Linked DNA regions of Drosophila melanogaster. The protein of the gene in region 1 purifies or fractionates together with the protein of each later gene. This does not show direct contact. Each region holds a gene or a part of one and is shown in the gene's direction. Other genes may lie near its edges.

Evidence for each region.
Region 2: the proteins of Ilp8 (region 1) and Sil1 purify together in Drosophila melanogaster (affinity purification with mass spectrometry, with the first as the bait; one study listed by BioGRID). This does not show direct contact.

What each region holds. Positions count from the first base shown.
Region 1 is NT_037436.4:17,029,165-17,033,941, reverse strand, and holds Ilp8 (Insulin-like peptide 8), read left to right. Parts: upstream 1-1,861; 5' UTR 1,862-2,044; coding exon 2,045-2,056; intron 2,057-3,034; coding exon 3,035-3,233; intron 3,234-3,657; coding exon 3,658-3,899; 3' UTR 3,900-4,130; downstream 4,131-4,777. Other genes in the region: CG7730 (uncharacterized protein), read right to left, coding at 4,351-4,777.
Region 2 is NT_033777.3:25,233,004-25,237,472, reverse strand, and holds Sil1 (Sil1 nucleotide exchange factor), read left to right. Parts: upstream 1-1,943; 5' UTR 1,944-2,075; coding exon 2,076-2,211; intron 2,212-2,274; coding exon 2,275-3,428; 3' UTR 3,429-3,837; downstream 3,838-4,469. UniProt on the Drosophila melanogaster protein: Required for protein translocation and folding in the endoplasmic reticulum (ER). Functions as a nucleotide exchange factor for an ER lumenal chaperone of HSP70 family.

The sequences.
Region 1 (4,777 bases):
AATGCACATTCCGAAGGATACGTGCGAAATGCGGGAGAAAATGCAACTGCGCAGCAGCATTGCGCATACGCCACGAGGGCCGGCTAACATTTCCGCATGCGGGAATGCAACGAAAGCGAAAAGCAAGTGGCAAAAAAAAAGAAAACAGCATAACCAAAACGAATGTGGAAACGAAACCGAAACCAAATCCGAACCGAATCGGAATCGGAATCAGAAACGTAACAATCTGAACCCATAAAAAGTCGGCCGAAAGTGTGCATTGACCGAGAGAGCGGCTAAAAATATCCGAAAAAGAACGTAACACAAACGATCTGATAAAATAAGAACGCACGATGATGACGCCCGATCCAGAACAACCGTTAAGTGCTCCACCCCAAATGATGCTGCAACAGGGTGAGCGAAAGAGAGGGCGAGCCCGATACCGAAAGAGACAGAGGCAGAGCCGAACAGAAACGACAGTGAAAGTTCTACACTTTCGCTTTTTCACAGAACCCTGCTATCATACGAAAAGCAGCAATCGTAGAGATAGAAACCTTTGGAAATACAATACATAGTACATCAGCAAATGTGCGGTAACTTTATATATTATTTCTATATAAATCTGAATGTTTAACAACAATTTCGCTGGCCTTCCATTTTTTATTCACAACATAATACAATTTTTTTTTTTTAATGAATTCATTTTTTTAGACTTTGAACGAAATGCCCCCTATATGAACATTAAACTTTACTGTTTATTGGTTTCTGCAACCAGTTTTTTAAGAATGTTATGTTATCATTTAATTTCAGGTTGAATAAAACACCATGAGGTCCATTGGAATATTATTCAATGCAAAAATTTCTTAAGCTTTCAAATGTCTTAGCTTTCCATTGCTCAACGAACCTGTCATTCTAGACTCTTTACTTATAGTAAACAGTAGTACTTTGCCACTGAAAAAGATGGTAAAGGCATTTGGATCATTTTTTAGCATGCTAAATGATGAGTGAGTCTGGTACAAAGTATGATTTAACAAATGATTACCGCATTAAAGCTAATCACTGTTGTTTTTCTCGACTTTCAATGGGAAACGCCAGTCAACAATTTCAATTTTACAGTTCTTCAAATTCTACACACAATATTTGAATGGTTTTATGGGTCTGTTCAACTTGTTTATGGATCCACATAAATAAGCAATCATATTAGAGAAGCATGCACGGCTATCAAGAAGTGCGTTGCCCTGGTTGGAAAAGCCCCGGCAACAAGGTCCAAGTTTTCACTTTCACTGCCACCATCGGCCGTCAAATCACCAGTAGCTATTACTACCTTATTACATTGCCAAGGTGCGCTGATAAGAGTGTTTTTAGACTGTTCCAGCTAACAGTATTCGCCTCGGCTTTATCAAGAGCAGCAGCAAGTCCAGCAGCATGTGACTGTGACTCAGTGAGTCCGCCGAGTCCATTTATGTTGAAATTCGTTTAAGATCGAAACGGCGGCGCCATGAAACTATAAATGCCAACTCTTCTGGTCTGACGTCCGTTCCGAGGCCCATTGATAAAAAAAAATGTATATTTCTGAATGCTCGGCGCGCCCTGCCGCTTACGCAAAACTCCTGCGAGCGGATCCCGATCCCCAAAAAGCCGAGACCGAACCCCATAACCCATACCCCATACTCCATACCCGAAACCGAAACCGAAGAATTACAAATCCCGAAATCTGCTCTCTCTCTCTCTCTCTCTCTCACCCCCATCGCCCATTCCCATTGAAAAGTGAAGAGCGGCTGTCTGAGCGGCAAACTGAGCCGATCCGAAGCGCCGATCCTCGATTTTTGAGGCGCGTATAAAAGCTTGGCTACGTCGGCAACGAAAGCTCATTGTGCGCTCGCCGCTCGTGATTATCAGGTAACGTCGATCGGACGGACGGGTTAACCATTCAGCAAGTTAGCTCTGCAGCAAGTTTGCCCGCCAAAAGAAAACACGTATACGTAGTGTTGCAGCCAGAAAGGTGATCGACGTGCCTACTGATCTATTGATCTATTGAGAATTGTGATCCTAGAACGCCACTAAAATGAGTTCAAAGGTGAGTTCGAGTTGAAGTTAAACTCTTATTTTTGTTTTTTAACTATTACACTAGCATAACTAATTCGTGTAGCTCTTTAGCATTATAGTTGGTTAGTTGCTCAGCACCAAAGCATTAAACATCAAACATTCAGTTCTCAGAATGATTTCATACACCAAATTATGCATTCCTTGAAATCATTGTACTGAACTTAAACATTTCCAGTACAAGGTGGACTTTTCCAAATTGAGTCCAGAAATTTTCCAAACAAATAACTGTCTTCTAAGAACACTCCACTTTAATTACTTAAATTAGCTTCGCGCCACAAAAAAAGTGGGTGTGTGCAATTAACAGGCTGTCAGCTAAAAATATCAATATCCAATATAAACAAATGCGCTTTTGTTCTCCGCGGGCAAGAGCATAATGCCCGCATCGATTCCGAATCGGATTCATATGGCGGACTGGAGTGCTAAACAGACTGGAGTGTCACCGCAAGGTGCGATATACGAAATGCGAAATGCAAAATGCGGAAATGCCTACCTGCGGGGCGCATTACATAATTTCCACTTCAGCTCCAGATCGCCGTAATGTCGGGGAAGTTTCGGTCATTAAAAGCGGCAATTAAAATTCACCATTTGGCCGCGTCGACTTGCAAATGCGCTCCAGTTTATGTTTCGATCTTGATGCGATATTGACCCAGTTAATGGGCGGCATACTCCGGTGCGTGGGAGTCGGCGACGTCATCCAGACATCCCGGCATCCCGACACCCGGCTGTCGTCATCCGAAGTGGTTAATCCAGATGTGTCCAGAGCGGCGATCCAGATTCACATTGAAATGCCAAAGCAGGGCAGAGTGCAGCCGGTTAGAGGATCGTTGTAACACTTATGCGATAAATTCTGAACGTCAGCGATTTATAATTAGGAGCCGGAGGCCGGTTGGGTGTTTAATTTGGAATATACTCATACTCACTTGTTGTTTCGCCCGCTCCTCCATTGCAGTTGCATATGTGCCGCTGGATGCTGCTGGTCATCGGAGTCTGTTGCCTGATGGGCAGCTCGTCGGGCAGCTTCTGCTCCCTGGAGCGGATGAAGAAGTTCGCGATGGAGGCGTGCGAGCACCTCTTTCAGGCGGACGAGGGTGCCCGCCGCGACAGAAGGTCCATCGAGTTCGCGCACCACCATCTGAATCGACTTGGATGTAAGTATCTAGATCTAGATCTTAGATTTTAGAGCATAGTGTGGCACTAGGAAAAAAAATGTTTAAAAATATTTCGGATAAATTTAAAGATCAAATTATTATAATGCTTCGTTATGACTTTACCATTTTTAAATTTTGTTTCCAACTATAATACTTACGTTTTAAAATCTCAATTAAACAATATCCACTGAACATCGATAAGGAAAAGATTAAAATATTGGATTAGCGAGCTAATAAGGTCAGAGTGTCAGTCAACCCGACAATTGCATTCGGAACTGCATATCGAAAACACGTTTTTTTTTAAGTGTGTAGATTGCAATTAATACGGCATTTGCATAAAGCAGTTCCGATGCAAAAGTTAACCGACTTCAAGGCGCAGGTTCAAGATCAATTTGCTCACTGGCAACGTTTTCCCCCTTTTCAGCCGGCAAAACGCACAACAAGCATCACTACATCAGCCGAAGCAGCTATCCAATGGGTGGCTACCTGAAGGTGACCCGGGAGCACTTCAATCGCCTCAGCGAACTGGACATCTTTCCGCGCTACAAGCCCATCAAGCCGCACCACGAAAAGAAGCATCGCTTCAAGAGGGATCACTCGAGCAGGTCCTACAACAACATTCCCTACTGCTGTCTAAACCAGTGCGAGGAGGAGTTCTTCTGCTAAGAGAGCTCCAGTGTCATGCTCCATGCCCCACGCTCCAAGTCGGTGCCATCTGGTCAGAATCTTCTGAATCCGTCCATAGTTATAGTTAGGCTATTCATGTACATTCTACAAGTCGCGCTCACTCTTATAGAGTACCTTATTTGTGCCCACTCCCAGGGACACAGATCCATTTACAGTATTTATACACTTAGATCGATTTTGAATAAACAATCGAATACGGCAACTGATCGGAATTAAAGTGTTTTTTATAAAAATTGGTGGACAGTTAAAACTAAACAAACATTCAGAGAATTTAACAGCATATTAGGTTTAGAAGACGCATATAAAGGCTTAAAAGATTATTACAATCCTAGTACAAATGAGTCACGATGGCTAACAAATCTTTGTTGTATCACAATCTATTAATCACTAAATCACTTAATAAACCGACAGCTCGAACCATGGAATCAGCTTATATGGAACTAATATAGTAGGCGCCTTTGCAAACGTTGCATTTGTACTTGCGGCAGTTTTGTTCGCCAACTGGCTCCAGTGATCGAAAGTACTTGGATACCACCATCAAAATATCCTCACGTTGTCTCTGAAGGAAATCTTCGCCGAAGTCATCAAAGGTTTTAACGCAATGCATTAGAATGCGATAGAGGACCGCTTCAGTTGATACGAACGTATTCAGCGAGCGATCAATGTAATCCACGTTCTCCTCTACGAATGTGCGGGTCATCTGCATTAGAAGCTGTACAGCCTGATCGCTGAAGTATCTGGCCATGGCCTCCAAAACGTCCGTAAAGCTAGCCAGATTGCCGATATGCTCAACGAATTTTCCGCCGAACTTCTGTGCGAGCATGTCCATATTGATCACCATCTGCCCGCCAATGCCG
Region 2 (4,469 bases), on another chromosome or scaffold:
CTTGTTGTTGCTGCTGCTGCTGTTGTTGTTGTCTGTCTGATTGCTGGCTATTTTTATTTATATTTTTTTTTTATTTATTCGTATGTGTATATCTCTTTCGCTTCGTGTTATGGATTCTCCTCATCATCATAGACATCGCAGTCTTTATCTTTATCGCAGCTACCCCTAACCAGAATTGGCAGCAGCATTATTATTAATTAATATTATTAGCATGCAGCAACAAATAACAATAAACAATAACAATGGCAACGCGCACAAAAGGCAGCGAAACTCAAAATTTTAATGCTCAATCCAGTCAGTTTTCAAGCAATTAACCAATATATTTCCACTTATCCTGCAATGCATTATATATATATATAATTTAATTATACATATATAATTTGCACTATATTTCGGCATCTTGTGTACTTTTTATAGATTCAAACTCCGTGAAATGGAATCCGCGCTTTGTTCACACTTTTAATAAAGTGCAAATATCAATTCGTACTTATTGGCTTATGATATTATTCATCCCATATTTGCTTTGAGATCAGCACTTGGAATTGGGAACCTACCTCTGGGGGAATTCCTAAGTGTGCTAAATGGCCAGGCAATCTGAAAGGGAATGATAATGAATAGGTCATGGTTAAGGATCCACGATAAAAATCACTTAAGTTATGAAATTGTATTCCGACCAGAAGGAAGAATGCATCCCAAGGCTCCCAACTATGAAATTTCCGTTTTGGACATATGTACGAAGATAAATCTTTTTGTGGCCAACACAACTCAATTCCGACATAAACCAATTAGACATAGTCGGGCATTTTGGACGACATCAAACAGGTTCCAACGGCATCGATAATCGATAATGGATGGATCGACGGATAAAAGTTGCTCGGCGAGGTGGCTTCACTTTCAAAACTATTGGACAGGCGACGTTCGGAACGGGCCGAGTGAATTTAATTTGGCAAATTCTAGTTAAAGGCTCCTGGCGTTCGTCATCAGCAATTAGCATATACTACATATATACATATGTATATGTATATTTGGTGTGTGATTGGCATGAAACCGGCATTCTGTTTATTTACCCATCCAATTGGCGCCAGGTGAGTCCAAATATTTCACTTTTGTCCACTTTGATGTGTTTGCGCAGCCAATTCCTAGACGCTGTCGTAGACATCGAGATTACAACGGATTTTCGGGGGCGAAATATGGTAATATATGCAAACACGCTTTTATTTTATTACGTCGGGCTTGCCTGCAAATAATTTGGCATTTCAATTTTGAGTTGGTTGATTCATCTGCGCGTAAACATGATTTCGTTTTTCTTTGTAAACTCAGTAAATACGTTTAGTTTATAACTAGTTTAGCTACGTTGTAACGAAGTGGAAAGCTTATGAATGGCGGTTACTTTTCAATTTTTAATGAATTCACGATGAGTTTGGGAATTTTTGGTGGCATTCTGGTTTGATGTGGTTTAATCGTTCTGAATGGCATTAACTTTTTCTGGTTCTTAAATATTAATTTCAAGTCTGGAAATTTCTAGCAATGCTTGTTTTTCACAACAAACTAAGGTTTAAAAATATTAATATTTGTGTTCGTTAGGGATAAAAATTAATTTGTTAGCGAAATAATGTTTGAAATCATTTAAAGTTTCCAACTATTCCGGACTAAGAGCAAAAATTAACCATAAAAATTTTTACTTAATTTTTGTATTACTTATTTATATAAGATTTGGCTTGGAATGTCCAACAGCACAATCTAATAAATATAAAGAAAGATTATAAAGCATACATATAGTTTACACTTTTTCAATACTTTAATATATTCTATTGTTTATAACGAATTTATTGATTACAAATATTTTCAAATTTGAAATTGAATTGTAACCGCCTTTGACTGGTTCCGAATCGACTGGCTCTCCACGGAACATATCGCCACATGCGGTATAATCAATGCAGCTCCCTACGGTCATACTATTAACCACATCCACATCAGAAGTCTGAAATCTGATTTAAAAACTCTCACGAAACTTACTTAAAACCAGGTGAAATAAAGACTGAATACATTCTGGAGGCAAGACAAGCTGAAGCAGTATGAGTGGCAAGCAGGTAGTCATCCTTCTGGGCAGTGTCCTGATCCTGGGATGCTTACAAGTGGCAGCGGCAACGGAAACGGATAACAAAACCAACGATTTCGTGGCCACCGACGAATGGCAGACGATTGCGGAAGGTTAATGGCTAGCCAGGCTAACTCTCGGATGACGTGTACTAAGTGAGCACTCTATATTTCCAGGTCAAGCTATTCCAAGGGGCCTGCACGTGCGCATCAACCTACAAACGGGGCTCAAGGAAGCCAAACTCTTAGACGAAAGCGAACGTGGCACGTCGCTGCAGAGTCAACCGGATGATCAGAATGCTCGGGAATCTCACGATGACAACGAACCCCTGGCTCTGGACTATAAACCGGACATAATCGAGGAGTCTATACGGCGGGTCAAGGAGCAGAAGAAGAGCTATGCCGAGCTACGCAAAGCGTACAAAGAGTTCCAGAAGAACTTTCGCACCGACGGAGAACTGATCGTCCAGTTAATCGATCAGTTTCGGAACTTCAGCAGAACGCCGCTAGAGTCAGAGATGCGCTCCAAGCTGGACTGCCTGGAAAATCTGGAGTATTTGCTCCATCAGATAGACAATGCCTTGATGTTCATTGATAATGGGGGATTGGATGATGTACTACTGCCCATTGTTGTGAACGATACCAGTACATCCCTGAGAGTGTCGGCCATGCGTGTGTTGGGCTCGCTGGCGAGCAACAATCCCAAGGCCCAGATCAAGGTGTTCGAAAAGAATTTCGGGTCTCATCTGGCTCAGATTCTGACCAGTTCCGGAAATGTCGGTGAGATCTCCGCTGCATTGCACGCCTTTGGAGCCTTGTTGCGGAAATTTCCGCTAGCCCAGCAGCGAGTGCTTTCCACCTCGGGTACACAGGCTCTGATCAAGGTGCTCCAGAGTCCGGATGTGGAGCTGCGGAGCAAGGCGAAGGTAGTGACTCTCATAAGCGACCTAGTGCTGGAGAAGCGGTCAGTGCTGGATGTCAGCAAAGATGATCCCGAAGCCTCATCCACAATGGCGCAATATGTGCTCTTGGACTTCGAGTCGTGGCTGAAAACGCCGGGCTACTGCGCGGCGGTGGACACTGTGCTAACCAAGGAGTTCCTGCTCCTCCTAGAGCAACCGGAGGTGGTGGAACAGTTTGCCACCGCATTGGAGACCACCGAAGATATGTGCACCAGCACGTGGTCGCAAAGTTCCGGTCTCAGGCATGCACTATTAACCGTTCGCAATCGGTATGCCAACAGCACGGACGAGTACCGACTGGAGGTGTCCCAGATTTTGGCCAAACTGTGCGAGAGATTGTTCAACAAGCCCAAGCACACCGAACTGTAATCCTAGCCAATTTACTATGTTATTTATGTTAATTTCATTTAATTGTAAGCTGAGTTGGAATGAAATTCGCAGCCAAACCATAGAATACGATAGCTAAGATGCCAAGTACTTGTGATGCAAAAATAATGCTCTTTGTCATTAACTTAGGATAGCAATCAATCATGCCAAACATCTACAGGATTTTCGTTATCAAATATAGTCTCTTACTTAAGATTATTTTAAGTGTGATTTTTTTTTAATAGGCAGACGATTCACCAACGAGCACATCAAAATAATTATGTTGTTACACGTCATTAAACTAGCAAAAATTTGTATGCTACAGAATTGTTCTCCAAACAGATTATGAATCCTTAAAGCCTTAAGTTCTTGTTTATTGTAGCTACAATAATAAAGCAATGACCTAATGTTTAATTTAGAAATTCTTTCTTAAATCAGTTGACTTCTTTTCAGTGGCATATTCTTAAAATGTAGTGCTAAATTATGAAAGGAAATGTATTTTCAATCAAGAAATCGCATTAGGAGATTGGATATTCCACCCCTATAGAACTACAGACCCATTTAAAGCCCGATAAGGCGAGCATAATCGACCGGGCCATAAAGTAAGTCAAAAGTGTCGGAAGGAAAGCAAAAACGCCGAGGAAAGCATGTCCCAAAAAACCACTTGAAGTTTGAATGTGAGCCAAACGAAGCCACAAGAACAGGGAAAACCTGGCACGGAACTGTACAGGAGGAGAAAGGACATCGGAGCAGGAGAGTGCAATTATGTGCCGGCAAAGTTGGAAGTTGGAGTCGAAGTCCAGCGCGGGAATTACAGCAATTAGCGGCAGTCACATGCAAATGCAATGTCACTGGGGCTGAGTCACGACGGTGGATGGTCGGATAGGTGGAGTGGTAAAGGTGAAGCAGCGCCTGGAAGGGAGCCGGCTAGGACGCCGCCTTGGTTCCCATGGCTACTCCATGCAATGTAAACAGAGAAAAGGGGTTGCAAAGCCGGCTCAGTGGAGCACAACGCAGAGAGGCAGGAGAGGATTCCTGAACTGG